Linked DNA regions of Saccharomyces cerevisiae S288C. The gene in region 2 interacts genetically with the main gene of each other region. Each region holds a gene or a part of one and is shown on either strand. Other genes may lie near its edges.

Region 1 (3,571 bases), on a different chromosome or scaffold from region 2:
TATCCCCATTTGACGGATTTTTGAAAAATGAGCCCGCTAACCCAGAATGAACTGCATTACCAAGCATTTATGTAAACGTTCCGCCACCATCTTTGGTAAGGTATACTATTATGTTCTGGATTTAAGGTTGATTCACAATTTTTCATCACCAAAATCTGGTGGCATGCCTAGTTGTCTGGTTTCAGGCAATTTAGCCATCATAGAAAAGCATCCTCTGTCTTGAGTTGAGAAAATGTTACTCATAGAGCCAAACAAATAAACCCTGGAATTAAAATATAGTTTAAACACAACTTCATATTACACTGTAAATACATATCACAATAATAAATTAACGAAATAGTAAGACCTTATGTTTCTATATGACATCAGTCCCGAATAGTGTCAATTTTTTGTCGTCAGTGTCGAACATTTTTACTGTTTATTCATCATATCGTGAGGTATGTAGGCATCTTCTATTGACTTAAGCATGATAAAAGATTCACCCAAAACTGTATCGAAATATTGATAAAATTAAATTTCAAAGTCAAACTTGTTTTCAATGGTTGCTATTTTCTTACCATTCGAGCTCTCCCTCAGGATTTTTTCACATGGAATGTTCATGGCCTCAATTTCCATGGGCTTTTTGCATTTATCTCCTTTAATTAATTGTAATGGCTCTAATGATACAGTTTCGCCATTAGCTTTGTCACATATATCGGAAAGGGCAATCTGATCATAATCTGGTATACAGTCACCCTTTGCATCTCTAACAAATTCAGAAGAGCATTCGTAGTCGGATTCAGTACAACTGTCACAAGGTATTTCATGCAAAATCATATCTTTGAATGTCCTTTTTACCAAACAACGGGCGTCCTGTTTCCTCCTTTTATACATGTATTTGGCGCCATTAAGGCATTTCCCATCTGCCAAATTCCAGTCTTCGAAATCTTCCTCTTCACACGTTTTATAGTCAAAATGCAGCAGAAAAATCGATCGCATACAGGACACTTCTTGCAATATATGAGATGTTGGTGTTGTTTCCTTCTTGACTAGCCGTAGTAATGAGATGTCCGCTTAAAATAAATTTTGAGCCTGATCCATCTGGCGTTGTATTAATCAACTCTAATGGATGGATATAAAATAAAGCGTCAACAAGCTCATATTGATTCCATGTTCTACCTTGGTCCAAGGAAAAATAAAGTTTGGATTGTACATCACCATCTTTATATGAAGGAGACGGGATATATACAATAATATTTCCCAGATCACCAGTAGCATATAATCCAGAAGAATTATGGGCCACCCTCCATGTTAGACCACCGTCTCTAGAAATGAAAGTTTTTCGGTCCTTCCGATCGAATTCATTGTCATCGCCAACAGAACCTGTCATTAATATGATCCCAGCAGAAGGATTTGAAAGTTTTAGATTGTAAAAATAACCCTGAAGTGAACATCTCTCAGGCCTAGTGATATCACAGCCGAACGAATCGGCATTTTCTTCATCAACAACTTTCAAATTTGACCATGTGAGGCCGTTATCAACGGATATTTTGGTTTCTCCTCCGGCTATATTTTCAGTATAGTTTACTTGGTGATTAGAATAGTCAATGGAAGGATGAAACGATCCAAATATTGTCCCTTTCAAGAAATCAGGAAAAGTGAGCCTAAAATTTCCAAACTGATGGTTTGGTGTCCATTCAACAGGTGAGAATTTCAACCCTTGCGAATCTGATATGAAAATCTCTGAGAGATCTGGATCAGCATTTTCCTCATTTGTGATTTCTGTCGATATAAGAAGGATGATCCTTCCGATAGAATCTTCACGAATTTTAATCACTTTGACGTGCCGTAATTGAGTAGGCAGCTGTGCCTTTTGAAAAGTAGATGCATCATTGGATATCCAGATGTCCGTAGATGACATCTCGTTATGCCCGTCATCTTGCGTTAAAACGACCACATATGACTTCAATATCTTGTATTGAGTAACAATCTTATCTTTAAATTCATCAAAATCTTTAAACGTTTTGCCTCCATCACTACTGAAAGCCAACTGTGTGTAGGTAGCAGTTAAGCGATATTCTTCATCGTATTCACGGTTAGAGAACAAACAGAGTATCGAAGTATCATTACCAGTAAAGTCAGAATCCTTGCTAGACTTAATGAAATGACAGCTTTAAGTTGTTATATCGTCGTCTTTTTTCTTTTCCAAGGAAGGTTTAATTTTAAAAAAGGATTCCCATCATTGCTCAAGTAAATTTCACTTGGGTCATATAAAACGTCTGCGTCTATCATATAGCTATAGCAATTCGCAATAAGAAGTTCTTTGTTTCTAGGATGAGTAGTTATAAAACAGTCGCCATCTAAATATTCTTCTGATGAGGGTATAGTTAAAGCCCTCCATGACTCCCCACGGTCGTCGGTAATGTAGAATTTGGGTGATTCACATATAAAAGCGAAACCTCTTTCCTGTCCATGGAAAGGATCAACAGTAAATCTGAAAATGCGCTCTTCAATTTCTTTGACCGTTTCCCAATTTTCTCCAGCGTCGAAACTTATCCATACAACCCCCCAACCATCTAATCTGATAGAAGTGTTGGAATCATCAAAACTCACTAGATTAAATGATGTTTCTATAGGAGCCTCCGTTACTTTTGGGACAAATTTCTCTGCATTGAGTAGCGGAAGTAGTATAATTACCCAAAGAGTATATATGGCATGAAGTAATATCATAATTGAGGATCTCTTACCTTTTCTTAGTTCAAAGTTTTTTTTCAAAGCTCGGAACTTTATGCTACAATTCAATGACTAAAAAAAAGGTAGCGGATAATCTTTTGGTTGCAAATTGGCGGCATTTAAATATATTTTGGGTTGCAAGTATTCTAAAAATATTCTCATAATATTCTAAAAATATCCAGTCTAGGTAATTGCAATTATTTTGAGTCCGGTGACTTTGAGTTGACCATGTTCACTTCCTGTACAGCCATCAAGGTAACGTGTTTACCATCTAATGGAGAAAACCAAGAGATAAGACTAGAAACCTAGTTAGGATACTTGGATTTGCTAATGTCGCCAGTAGTACGATAATACCATAAAGATACGCTGTTGAACCTGATTTGTATATTTAAAGAATGGGAATCTTTAAGGGATCATAGTCTAGAATGGTATTCTGCAGAATAGATTTTAAATGGTGAAAACTTTCCCTCACTATGTCCAATTGATGCTTTTTAGGATGACGTTAGAATTTTATTCTGGTGAAGGCACTTTTAATATGAAGATTCGTTGAAGTATCAATAACCTTTTATTGGCATACCCTTACCTAACTGGTCTCTCTCACCTCGTGATGTTACGAACGCCACGATTATTCTCAAACTAGGTAAAGATTTTTTCTTCAAAATTAGTGGGAAAGACTCGACAGACCCGCTTACCAGGTATTCTTTCTAAACAATAGGGTTTACCAGTACCCCTGAAAATGATAATGCCCATGTGCGGCTGATCGCGTTAACTACGTATGCAGTTGAATCAAAGCCATACCACAGAAAATGGTACAAGAGCCCACTGGATAGAATAGTGCTGGCTATCAAACCAATATTTT
Region 2 (5,769 bases):
TAACTAAGAAGGAAAAAACAATTGAGATGAGATCCAAATGGGAGGAGTTTTGAAACAATTGTTTGCTATTATTTCAATGATTTAGTGTTGCCACCAGATGGGTCTATTTTCTGTAAAACTACCGGTTCGAGGCTCCTGCCGTAACCTTAATTGTACTTTTCTATGATTTAATCCAAATAACCATTCCATTCCTCTTTAAGTCTAAGAAACATTAAAAAACAAAAAACACCACGTCCGGGTAATGAAAATATAACGCTGGGTAATGCACGTGTTGATAATTACATCGTTTTTCACTAATATCGTACCAAACGAGATGTTTGCAGAAAGAACAAACCAATATTTTAAATAATCAAAAATCAAATTAGCTATTATTTCTCATTTGGTGATAATAATATATACATACATATATATATATATATATAAATATATAGGTATATATATAAATAACCTAAGACAAGTTAAATGAGTATAAAAAACCTTGAACGTAAATGAAAAAAAAAAAAATACTAGTAAATTGACAACATAAAAGACAAAAATAAATGAAAGAGGAAAGTGGTAATAAAGTGGTTAAAATTTGTTGTAGTTGTAGATAGGAGGAGTCCGCGTAGACAGTTATTCAAATTCAATTGAGGAAGAAAAATAGATTTCAAAGAATACTGGGAATTTGTTAATCGAGAAGTGTTTAAATTTCACTCCTAAATCCAAAAGTACCGCCAGAAATACTTTTTCTCACTCTACCCATGAAACTTTGTTTACCAGCCTGTTCCTCACCTTGCTCGTCGTCATGGTAATCTTGCTCACCCTCATCGGAACCGTACTGATGATGTCTTGGAGTGTGCTCGGCTGAATGAGTAGAATTATTATAGTCGTAGTCAGACCCTTTTGAAGAATTCTGTCTGCTGTGACGGTGATGATTGTGATGATGTTTTGATTTTCCGGAACCCATTGAACCCACCGACACTTTCCTTCCCTGAGAAGTTGTTTCATTATGAATTGAATAGGAAGTGGTTTCTGGGTAGGTGCCCTCAGATGGCTTTTGAGAACTAGAGGTGTTGGTGTCTTTAAATCCGTATGTTGGGACATGTGGGTCAATCAAACTAGGGAAATTACCAACTTCGGCAGCATAAGCGTTTGAGGCGTCGGCACCACCAAGGTCGGTTCTACGTTTGTTCTTCAAATCTACTTCACGCTTGTAGCCCGGTGCGTCTTCCTCTAAAACTTTCGCATTCTTATTGACATCAATATTATCGTCGCTAGAATATTCTTGATTTTGGGAATTGCCGCCAGAACCGTAACTGGCCTTTTGTTCTGATGATGGTTCCTGATCGTGAGTCATTCCAGTAATATCTTGTGATTTGGCATATGTAGGGTCCGCATTTTTAATATTATCGTAAGCAGCTGTTTCAGCATCCCCTGATTTGGAGTATGTAGTGTCTCCAGATCTGGAATTATCAAAGGCAGCAACATTAGCGTTTTCGAGATGAGTGTCTGTATTTTTACTATCATCAAAAGGGTTCGAGCTGAAGGTCTTGGATTTTGCACCCATCCTTCCGGTTGTATCTACGTTTCCAGTAGTACCTGTTTCCGGATTATTGGTGAAATCCTTGGCATCGGATGCAATATCCTGTGTTGTTTTTGCTCTTCTTGGCTCAATTTGGTCAATAAAATTAGAACGCGTTGGAGTTGGGCCTGATTTATTTTTGCTTAAATCAGATAATTTTTTGTTACCAGAAGTATTCGAGTATTCGTAATTGCCAAGACTCTCATCTCTTGCAGTCTCCATACCAGCACGGTTAGTGGTTTGCCTTGGAGACAACGGGTCTTCATCTTGTTTTTGCACTGATTTTGACAACGTATCAGGTTCAAAAGTACCTGGGATTTTCTCTCTCTGCTCATAATTGTAATCCGATGGTTTTCCCTGGTACGCTTTCTTAGAATACAAGTCGTTTTTCTTTGCATTTGAGTAGTCGTCAATATCATTCTCGTGGTAGTCTTCAACATCATCCAAATAATCCAACCCATATTGATGAGGTTTAGTAGAATCTTCATTCATATCTTCGTCCTTCATAGCAGGTGATACAACATTGTTTCGGGTGGTGGCATCATTAGAAAGCCCGGACCATTCTGCTTCATGACGGGGTGACATGTCAATATTGTTGTTCGTATTTTGAGAACCAGCTTGTGAACCGGCAACATATTGCAAGTTATCCCTACCATTATCATTATACTTCATATGTCCTAATTCGGTTCCCGCTTTAGGCATATTCTGAGATCCAGATGTACCGCTGTCGAATTTCTCCTTCATACTAGAAGGTATAACAACATCCTGCAGATTCTTATTTTTACCAGCGCTGGAACTATATTCAATTGGACCCCAATTAGAATCCGTCTTGGATTTAATGTTTTTCTGTTGATAATCATCGGCGGATTCCAGAATGTCATCTCTTTCAATGTTAAATTTTTCAGCCGCTCTTTCTGATATATTTTTATTATCAACCTTATTCTTTTCTGGGTGTTGAATGTTTTTATTGCTATCATGATAAGAAGGTTGCTGGCTTACAAAACCACTTGTCCCGACTGCTGCTTTGGGTTCAGGTTCCATAGTTTGCTGTTGGATTGCATCAGAACCAGAAACTTGGTCATTTTTCAATCCAGTTTGTTCGCTCTCATCCATCTTCACGTTCTGTGCAATTTCTTTAATTGTATCTTGAGGAGGACCAGTCGCAGTGTTGCCAGAGTACTTTCTACGATCTGCAGACTTCGAACTTGTGTCCGTGTAGACACTAGGGTCGACAGCGTTCATACCGGAACTAACATTACTCTTTGGGCCTGTACTTGTGTAAACACTAGGATCAACAGGGTTCACATCAGTACCAGTCATGCCCCGGAAACTACCAGGTATGACATCTCGATCTGAGTTGGAATCAGTGTTCGAATAACCCTTCGTAGCTGAGGAGTTATCTTTAACACTTGTATGTCCATGAGTAACTGAAGGGTTAGTTTTAGTACTGGAATGATCCTGTGCAGCAGCGGTGGATTTAGGACCAGTGCTTGAACCAGAGTGACCATGGCTAACAGGGTGGGTAGTTTTGACGTTGATATGTCCATGTGTAGTTGCAGTGGCTGATGGACCAGTATTCGCTTTAGAATGCTCATGAGTATTGGTAGGAGATGTGGTTTTCACACTGGCATGACCATGTGTGTGAGTGACAGGGGAAGTGGTAGCACTGGAATGACCATGCGTGTGAGTAACAGGAGAAGTGGCAGCTTTGGAAGTGCTGTGGTTATGAGTGGTTGCAATACTTGGATGCCCTGCATCACCTTTGGAATGTCTATGCGCAGTGGGGGACGCCTTTATATTTGAATGTTCATGGCTAGTGGGAGGTGACGTTTTCACTTTGGATTGCTCACTTGTAGCAGCGGGTGTCGTTGTTTTGACATAAGAGTATCCATGGGTAGTAATAGTAGCATTAGGGCCAGAACTTGACTTGGTGTCGGCAGAAACAGGGTTCACATCAGAAGTTACGTTGGCACGGCGGTTAGCGTCCGCCTCAGTGTCTTCGTGTGGAGTTTCCGAGTCTTTATTATGCTTCTTCCTCCAAGGTAACAGAATGTTTTTAGCCTTGGTTTCCAAATTCTTGGACGTTGATTCGGGCTGTTCTTTTGGTAAGTTATATTCGGTCGGCTTTGTAGTACTGAAAGACTTTTTGCGTTGAGCAGAATCTGAATTGGAATCATAGGAACCGGGCTTACCACCAAACGAAAAATTATTTTGTTCTTCTTCGCCTTGACCATCTTTGGAAATGGACTCGTTCATATTCATATCTTGGGTTGGGTGATATTCTTGATAGCTCTCCACTGGGAAATCTTCACGGTGTTCGGTATTATTCTTATCTCTACAGTTACATATAAAAAAAGGTGTTTTTGAGTTAGTTAGTATTATATATTAATTTTCTTGAGGGGGTGGTATTATTAAAGAATTAAATTCAATATTATTACTATTAATTACACTAAGGTGCCGGGTATTATTGACGTTTTTTTTTTCTTAGTCTCTTTAATGAAGAAGGAAAAAGAACTAAGTTATTATTAGAAGGAAAAGGAGGAGGGGAGGCGAGAAAGAATGGTGGAGAATAAATGAAAATCTCCAAGAAAAAATTTCAGCACGATACATATGGATTATACCATGTCACAAAAAAATATTTCGGTTGGAGGTAGATGCAGAGTTATGGTACTGCGAATGTAGGAAGAAAAAAAAAATTAGGAAGTATTTTATGGTGATTATTTCCTTCCTAGTCGCGTACCGTCACTGGCCCGGCAAGACCACCATCCCCAGCTGGTTCTAACTCAGCTGATGGCACCTGCTTTCTTGTTTTCAGTTTTTGAAAGAACTTGCCATTGCCAGCCGGAGTAGTGGTGGTTGTAGGTTGAGGCTGTCCAACCACAGGTGCGGCTGTGATAGGGCCCGCGCCGTCCGTCGCCCCACTATTGTAAGTGGATTTCTCCATTTGAGCACCGGTGTCAACAGAAGGGCTTTCATATTGGGCATACATGTCGTGGTCCGAGTAGGTAGAGTGGGCCTTGTGGGTAGCACTGAATATAGTGGACCAAATGGCGTTCACGAGCATCAAGAAGACCGAAGTCCAGATGAACGCAAAGTTTTTGGGTCCCAGCCTTGCAGACCTCCCGCTGTTGCGGAAGGTCTTTCTGGCCTTCACATAGCAACCTGTGTACAAGCATGCAGCCAATATAATGAAGAAAAAGGCCAACCAGGACAACACACAGTACAGGACTGGCACTGCCTTGAAAGGAAGGAAGGTAGCCAGAAAGCCGGGTACCAGCGCCAGTACGATGAAAAATAGGGAAATCAGCAGCATGGCCCATCCAACCCTGGATAGATAATAGTAGGTATCCCGGTTGTTTCTGAACGACGATGGTAAATTGACAGAGTTACCAAAATTGTCTCTGGGAGAGAAAGGCTTGGCGGGCGCCCTGCTAGAGCAATTAGCTAGCTGGCCGTCTTCGTAGCCGCACCAATTGTAATTGTACCATCTCGTGGTCGATGGAGCGCTGTTAAAGCCGTTTGTATCAGCCTGTAACCAATAAAAATTTTTCAGCGTTCCAGATTCTCTGCCTCCTGACAGAATAAGAAAAAACGTCAATAAGCCAGCACCGAGTAGGAATAAAAACACAAGCAAATTAACGAACCTTTTGAAAATCATAGCGGTAGATTATAGTGATTAGTGTTACTTGTTACTTGGATAAAAAGGAAAGTATAAGCGTTAAACGTAAATACCTCTTTCTTTTTAATTCACTTCAAAATTACTGTACTTAAAGTTTGCATCTAACGGATAACTAATCAAGAGAACAAAGCAAGATCAAGTAACTGTTGCAAAGCAACCATCCTTTTATATGTCGGCATCTGCGCCGAATGCTCCTCCCCATTCCAGACTATCCTTGTTTTAGCATCAAGAAGGAAGGAAGACCTTTCATTGACTCTTGCTTCTTACCACTCCCCTCTTTCCCTTTTCCTTCGTGTGAAAACGTTCCACTCCCTTATATTCAGAGCACCCTTAAATTTGGTTATTTGGTCTTTTTTTTTTATATTACTCCGAGACGTCACTGCAATTTGGCACCGCCGCGTTGGGCTGCGCGGATCATGTCTTACGAGGTGGGAACGGCTCCGGCGTCATCGTCATTATCCTCCTCCTTTTTCACGGTGACGCCATTTTGCGCGGCAAGAAGTCGCAGAGGATTGACGGTAGCATTAAT
Region 3 (3,619 bases), on a different chromosome or scaffold from region 2:
TCTCAAAGCAGGATCATGGTATTCGTGAAATTCCAGCGGGCCATACTTTTCAGTAGGATCCCATGTAGGCAAATAATCTGGATACTTCGATTTCTCTCTATAAGATTTACGGATTTTCAATAAACCAGATGGAGAGACCTCATCTTGGCCATCATAAAAATGGGTATCAAAATTCCCGTAACCTTGCTTGGAGGTATAATTCAGGTTTTTCAACCCATTTGTAATGATTTTGACTGGTAAATCGGTAGATGGAAGAGGGATTGCTGTTTGAGCTGCTGCAGGAGACATATTTTAACTGGGTTACTGTGCTATGTTTGTACAAGTATGAAAGGGCCGATTATACAGCAATAGTACACCTTTTTATATGTTTCTGTCATCAAGAACTGTTACTGACTCCTTAACTTTTCCAGCATTCTTGTTGTATTGCCTACATACCTTCTTTATGTTAGTAGTATGATAAATAAACTCCATGTGCCCTGTGGCGCCAAATAAGAAATCGACTCAAGCCACATTGAGGCTTTTGTCATCATTCCCCTATATACTAATATAGCACCTTTCCAAGGGCCAAGAGCTCGTCCAATGAGACGCATGAGTTGGGTATTTTAAGCTGCACAGTAGACTATATAGATAAAGCTAACTAGTATGTAAAAAACGTTACATGCTATGGCGCTCTTAGAAAAAACGCATAATATAAGCTTCAAGTCAGTTTAAGCTATAGTTCGCACGGATATCTTCAAGAAGACCGATTTGTTGTGGCTGCCATCCCAGCTCTTTTCTGGTACCTTCGCTTGAAACTGGGCCATCTCTAGTGACAAAACAAGTGAGGAAGCCAAAATGACTTTCCGCGTCATCAACAGGGATAGAGGCCACGGGAACATTCAAAATTTCTCCAATCACACGCGCAATATCTTTGAATGGTATACCTTGTTCACCAACGCAATGATACACTTGTCCTGTTTTTCCTTTCTCTAAAACAAGTCTGAACAGAGGAGCCGTATCCAAACGATGTACAGCCGCCCAAGCGTTTGTGCCTTGTCCGACATAGCCAGATTTTCCGGCAGCTTTGGCAATATTCATTAATATTGGTACAAAAGCCTTGTCCCCCTTGCCATGAACCGAGAATGGGAGTCTGACAATTCTTGCTGAAACACCTTTGTCTTTGTAACTCAAGGCAACCTGTTCAGTGACAGCACGCAAAATTTTGGAATCTTCATCAATACCATCCTGTTCGTTAGCAACTTTGTTTGGTCGCAAAGAAAGTGTACCATTCGTATATAAGAAAGGCTTGTTAGAACCTTTAAGTGACTCTAGCATAGCTACAGTGGCCTGACGGTCAATTTCGCAGCACTGTTCAAAATTTTTAAAATCATGCACAAATCCTAAATGAATAACGCCATCAGATTCAGTGGCACCTTTTTTCAAAATTTCCAGATCCTTGAGATCACCGCGAAGGATTTTTGCAGCAGGATCAATCGACTTAATCTTTGCAGCAGCCTCGTCTGACCTTGCCAAGCCAACAACTTCATGACCCGAGGATATTAGTTCAGATAATACGGCAGAACCAATGAAGCCAGAAGCACCAGTTATAAATACTTTCATTTTTTGATCTCTTTTTTATTTTCTTTTGTAAAAGTTGAGTTATCACGCCTTAGCGCTTATGAATACAAGAGTGATTGTAAGCATAGTTGATAGAAGCGGGAGCCGTTATTTATACGTTAGTTGAGTACTTGAGGGTCTTCATCGCCTACTTTTTTTCCTTAATATCCTTGTGTTAGTAATCATATCTTCAGGAAAGCCAAGAACTAATGGCAAATTAAATCCGCGGCTTTCCCTTTAAACTTTTTCCAGCACAATCTATTATGTTGAGAAGTTCCGCTAATTTCCGCATTGGAAAAAGAATCTCATCTGCAAAAACGATGGTTTCTTTCTTCCACGGAAGACTTATGTCCGTCCTCTCTATTTTCATATTGTTCTTTCTCTCTCTTTTTGCATAACGTCACAATACCCTAGTGCTACCGTCATTGGCGCAGCATAAGAGTATTGCATTTCATGTCTTCAGATTTTGCCTCGCGAAAGAGAAAACACTAAGAGGTGAAAAACAATAAAATTATGTTCCAGTGTGTCATACGTGAGGTTTTATCACGGGGCCACCGTTCTCATTGGTTACTTGGTTGTAAATGCTTTGCGTTGTGATAAATATATGGCATGAAAAATCATATGACTTCAAAAATGAACAGATTCCAGATGCCAAGCCCGCTTTCCTTCGGCTAACTAGATGCGCGCTCGCCCTTGAAATCCTTAATCAGCACAACTCAATTGTATGGACGTGAGCTCTGACTTTTGCTTCCGACAATTAGGCCTTTCATATCTGTCCTTCTGAGATGTTATGTATCATGCATTTTGTATACACTATGCAACACCCTTCGCAATGGCGAAAGCGGAAAGTCATGGCACCATCAATCGTGCTCTGACCAGTATGTAAAAAATTTCTTAAGCCTCACCATGTTACAGATTGGCCAGAGCATCTGGATATTCACCACACCTGATTGGGAAGACTCATAGTTTTATGAAAGATTTCTTCAGAAAAAATGACATGCTGATTTTGTCTACTTGCGTGTGCTTTCAGTTCTTTACCAGTACGATTTGGTCACGTGACACGCGATCAACTACATTCAATCCATCTGCCCCTTGCTGGTTCCGAGTATCAATTCTAAATTGTGGCTACCACTATAGCAATAGTACGCCAAGCTCGGATGCAAATCACGGATATCTTCTTAGCATCCGAGTTCAACATCCGAGTTCAGCATCCGAGCTTTGCGGCGAAAACTTAACAAGATAACGGATAATCAAAGTTCTCTGTGATGTTACGGAGTCTTTGGTCTGCGCTGCTGACTAAAATAGTGTGACACAACGTACATAGCGCCACCCATATTGGCCGATAAGGACCAGACTTGTGGCGATGACTGTTAACTCTCCGCGAATCTTTTTCGAAGTCGCAGGTGGCATTGCAGAAACAAAAATGTGTGGCTTCTGAAAAAAAAAATAGGCACCCCATTTGATGTAAGACATCTGGCTACCCCTTGTACATTTCAGTCACTGAGCATCGAAGGCACGTCTTTGCAGCATGCAATAGTGTTCGAAGTTCTTCCATTTACGGTGGCTCCCCTCACTGGAACGGTGATGTAATATGTAGATAGCTAAAACATTTCGCAGGTCCCTAGGAACTGGACGTCAAGATGAATAGGTATTGTTAAAAATGCGTACCTGTTGAATTGAAGAGGTCGGAAAAATCAAAGTACTTAAACAGACGATTGATTCGACATTTAGCTATTCAGGTTGCACTTCTTGAAGGTTGAACAAAACATCAAGAGAAAATAAAAAAGAAAATATAACAAAAAAGAAATGTCAAAAGTTGACGTAAAAATTGGAGCAGACTCGATCTCCTCTTCTGATGAAATCCTAGTTCCTTCGAGACTCGCTGATGTTACGCTAGCATTCATGGAGGAGAATGACGCAGCAGTTCCAGAAATCACGCCTGAACAAGAAAAAAAATTAAAGAGAAAGCTTTTTCTCACAATATTCACCTTTGTCTCTGCCATTAACCTTTTACTTTACATGG
Region 4 (3,678 bases), on a different chromosome or scaffold from region 2:
GATCAACCTTAGAGTAGTCCTTACCGGAGAAGGCACCACCACCGACGGATGAGGCACCACCGTAAGCGTCGACGATGATCTTTCTACCGGTCAAACCAGCGTCACCTTGAGGACCACCGATGACGAATCTACCGGAAGGTTGGATAAAGTATTTGGTGTTTTCGTCCAACATGTCTCTTGGGATGACTTTTTCAATGATCTCGGACTTTAGTTGCGCTCTTAAGTCCTCGGTCGTGATTTCGTCAGCATGTTGAGCGGAGACGACGACGGTGTCGATTCTTTGTGGAACCCATCTACCGTGGTCATCCTTGTATTCGACGGTGACTTGAGTCTTGGTGTCTGGTCTCAACCACGCTAAAGAGCCATCTCTTCTCGCGTCAGCCATGGCCATGTTTAGTTTATGAGCCAAAAGAATAGTCAAAGGCAAACCCTCTGGAGTTTCATCTGTGGCGTAACCAAACATGATACCTTGGTCACCGGCACCGATGTCTTCCAAATCCTTCTCCTCGTGGACACCTTGGGCGATATCTGGAGATTGTTGCTCAATGGCGACAAGGACGTTACAGGTCTTATAGTCGAAACCCTTGGCGGAATCATCGTAACCAATCTTCTTGATGGTGTCTCTGACGATTTTTTGGTAATCCAACTGTGCCTTGGTAGTAATTTCACCAAAGACCATAATCATACCAGTCTTTGCCGCGGTTTCACACGCAACTTTGGAGTGAGGGTCCTCGGCTAAACAAGCGTCCAAGATGGCGTCGGAAACTTGGTCACAGATCTTATCTGGGTGACCTTCACCAACGGATTCAGAAGTGAATAAAAATGTACCGGCCATATTTTCGTTTATCTTATTTTTTCTTGTTTTTAGGGTAAATTCCTGGTTTTTACTCTATTTTTTTTTCGAAGCTAACCGAAAAACAACGATGAATAACAGACAACACCAGTCGATATATACGTCCCAAACCAATCCCATTAAGTACTAAACGGAAAACTTTTTACTCTTCCCTTTTTCATCGATACCAGAGTGAAAAACTACGATGAGGCTAAAATTTCCTCGAGACAAGAACCCGAAAAAAGAAATGCACTAGTAGGCAAGGGCGCCACCACAGTTTTCCTGTGAAAAAAAAAAAAGAAAGTATTCGTGTGTAGTGATATATAACTTTATCTTCAAATTCTATTTCCGTCTTACGTCCGTTTCGGTACCTTTTTTTCAAAAGATCTTGCCTGACATTTTTTTGAACAATATAAAAGTGCCAAGCGTGCTCATTATTGGAAGTGCGCACCAGGTGAGGAATTGAATGTTGCCATCAATTGTTTGAGTAAACACTGCCCATCTGCCACTTTCGGTACCCATCCGAGTACTTAGTAATAGAAATATATATTATGTCTAGTGCCATCGTTGCTAAACTGAACAAAGAGGACATCATTAAGGACACCGTCAAGGACTTGGCGTTCGAGATTCTTGGTGAGTTGTCGGTTTCGTACGTTGATTCTGACGACATCAAATTGGGCAATCCCATGCCAATGGAAGCTACGCAAGCCGCTCCTACCATCAAGTTCACGCCCTTCGATAAAAGCCAATTGTCAGCCGAGGATAAACTCGCTTTGTTGATGACTGACCCGGACGCGCCCTCTAGAACAGAACATAAGTGGTCGGAGGTTTGTCACTACATCATCACTGATATTCCTGTCGAGTACGGACCTGGGGGAGATATTGCCATTTCGGGGAAGGGTGTCGTGAGAAATAACTATATTGGGCCTGGTCCACCAAAGAACTCCGGTTATCACAGATACGTGTTCTTCCTGTGCAAGCAACCCAAGGGAGCGGATTCGTCCACTTTTACCAAGGTTGAGAACATTATCTCCTGGGGGTACGGTACTCCTGGTGCGGGTGCCTATGACTATATCAAGGAGAACAATCTGCAACTGGTCGGTGCCAATTATTACATGGTCGAAAACACGACCGTTGATTTCAACTATGACATGTAAGGTGCAGCAACCGGCTCGTATAGATACGGATAAGATAGAGTATATTGTGCAAACGCGTATATGAAATAGTGAATATATACATGCCGAACGGTTCCGTTTTTTTTTTTTTTGGCTCGTTGATTTTTCCTATCCCTTTGAACTTTTCTATCTTTTAAGGGATAGAGGGGCTGTTCAGGGAAGGAAAGATCTCAATTGGTATATAAAAAGGGGGCAGCAAGAAACGAATTGCAGTGCTCCTTTTCCCTACCAGTGCATCAATACAAGAACAAGAGAACAAGCAAAAAACATGAACCAAGCAATAGACTTCGCACAAGCAAGCATTGACTCCTACAAGAAGCACGGCATTCTGGAGGATGTAATTCATGACACAAGCTTTCAACCCTCCGGGATACTTGCCGTAGAGTACTCATCAAGTGCACCTGTTGCCATGGGTAACACGCTGCCCACTGAGAAGGCACGTTCCAAGCCCCAATTCCAGTTCACGTTCAATAAGCAAATGCAAAAAAGCGTACCACAGGCGAATGCGTACGTTCCCCAAGACGACGATTTGTTCACACTGGTAATGACCGATCCGGATGCTCCCTCTAAGACAGATCACAAGTGGTCTGAATTCTGCCACTTGGTAGAATGCGACTTAAAGCTGTTGAATGAGGCTACTCACGAGACCTCCGGAGCAACCGAATTTTTTGCATCAGAGTTCAATACGAAGGGCTCGAACACACTAATAGAATATATGGGACCAGCTCCACCCAAGGGATCCGGTCCCCACAGATATGTTTTCTTGTTATATAAGCAGCCTAAGGGCGTGGACTCATCTAAGTTCTCGAAAATTAAGGATAGACCGAACTGGGGTTACGGCACCCCTGCCACCGGTGTTGGCAAATGGGCTAAGGAAAACAACCTGCAACTAGTTGCCTCCAATTTCTTCTATGCGGAAACGAAATAGGTATATATATATATATATGTATATGTATTTATTTTTTAGATTTCAGTGCTTTTCACTTGACTTTTTATTATTTTTGTTTTATTTATGTTTTTGTCACAAACGCGCACATGTTTGTAGGGAGTAATGTCATTGTCAAACAAAACACATAAGAAAAACATGGTGAGATTATTAAAAAAGTGTATAAGTTTATAAAATGTTTATAATGATTATATAAGTTTGGGTTAGCCGAACAAAACCTTCACCAATTCCATATAAACACCGATCTGGAAGTCGTCCAGTTTCAAGCGATTCAGTTCAGGGGCCACGACAATTCCAGTGTTGTCCATGGAATAGTGGGACATCATATCCTGATACATCTCCCACTCAAACTTGTTTGAATCATAAAATTTGGAATCTATCGATAAATTGTTCGGTATAGCACAAAGCCAAATTCTTGTTTTGTAAAACTTAAAGAGTTCTTTGATCAGGTCTCTGAAATCATTACGCTCCTGGCAAATGTAGTAGAAAGTCAATTTCTTTCTGTCGAATTGGAACTCTGCATTCAATATTTTGATGTTCAACCCGCCACCGGAGTTATTGTTATTTAGCGACCTCAGTTTTAGCTGTGCAATGTGAAGAGCCTTTAGCTCATCCTGGAATTTGTTGTGTAAATTCGTGGAGGATTCCCACGGGGTGGCAAATCTCAGAACCTGCTTTGATGGGATGATCAATTGCGTTAGTTCAATGATATCATATAACTTCGG

Evidence for each region.
Region 1: mutations in HBT1 (region 2) and EMA35 together harm fitness more than expected from each alone (negative genetic interaction), as found in Saccharomyces cerevisiae (one large-scale study listed by BioGRID).
Region 3: mutations in HBT1 (region 2) and YLL056C together harm fitness more than expected from each alone (negative genetic interaction), as found in Saccharomyces cerevisiae (one large-scale study listed by BioGRID).
Region 4: mutations in HBT1 (region 2) and TFS1 together harm fitness more than expected from each alone (negative genetic interaction), as found in Saccharomyces cerevisiae (one large-scale study listed by BioGRID).

Annotation. Positions count from the first base shown.
Region 1 is NC_001135.5:300,322-303,892, forward strand, and holds EMA35 (Ema35p), read right to left. Parts: upstream 1,901-3,571; coding exon 950-1,900; downstream 1-949. Other genes in the region: YCR099C (uncharacterized protein), read right to left, coding at 511-978; YCR101C (uncharacterized protein), read right to left, coding at 2,161-2,709.
Region 2 is NC_001136.10:56,583-62,351, forward strand, and holds HBT1 (Hbt1p), read right to left. Parts: upstream 3,824-5,769; coding exon 683-3,823; downstream 1-682. Other genes in the region: FMP45 (Fmp45p), read right to left, coding at 4,290-5,219; telomere-binding protein CDC13, read right to left, coding at 5,662-5,769. UniProt on the Saccharomyces cerevisiae protein: Polarity-determining protein which forms a conjugate with the ubiquitin-like modifier HUB1. Involved in bud site selection and cellular morphogenesis during conjugation. Required for survival during stationary phase.
Region 3 is NC_001144.5:26,707-30,325, forward strand, and holds YLL056C (uncharacterized protein), read right to left. Parts: upstream 1,600-3,619; coding exon 703-1,599; downstream 1-702. Other genes in the region: JLP1 (sulfonate dioxygenase), read right to left, coding at 1-288; YCT1 (Yct1p), read left to right, coding at 3,403-3,619.
Region 4 is NC_001144.5:512,419-516,096, reverse strand, and holds TFS1 (Tfs1p), read left to right. Parts: upstream 1-2,275; coding exon 2,276-2,935; downstream 2,936-3,678. Other genes in the region: methionine adenosyltransferase SAM1, read right to left, coding at 1-835; YLR179C (uncharacterized protein), read left to right, coding at 1,384-1,989; YLR177W (uncharacterized protein), read right to left, coding at 3,157-3,678. UniProt on the Saccharomyces cerevisiae protein: Specific and potent inhibitor of carboxypeptidase Y.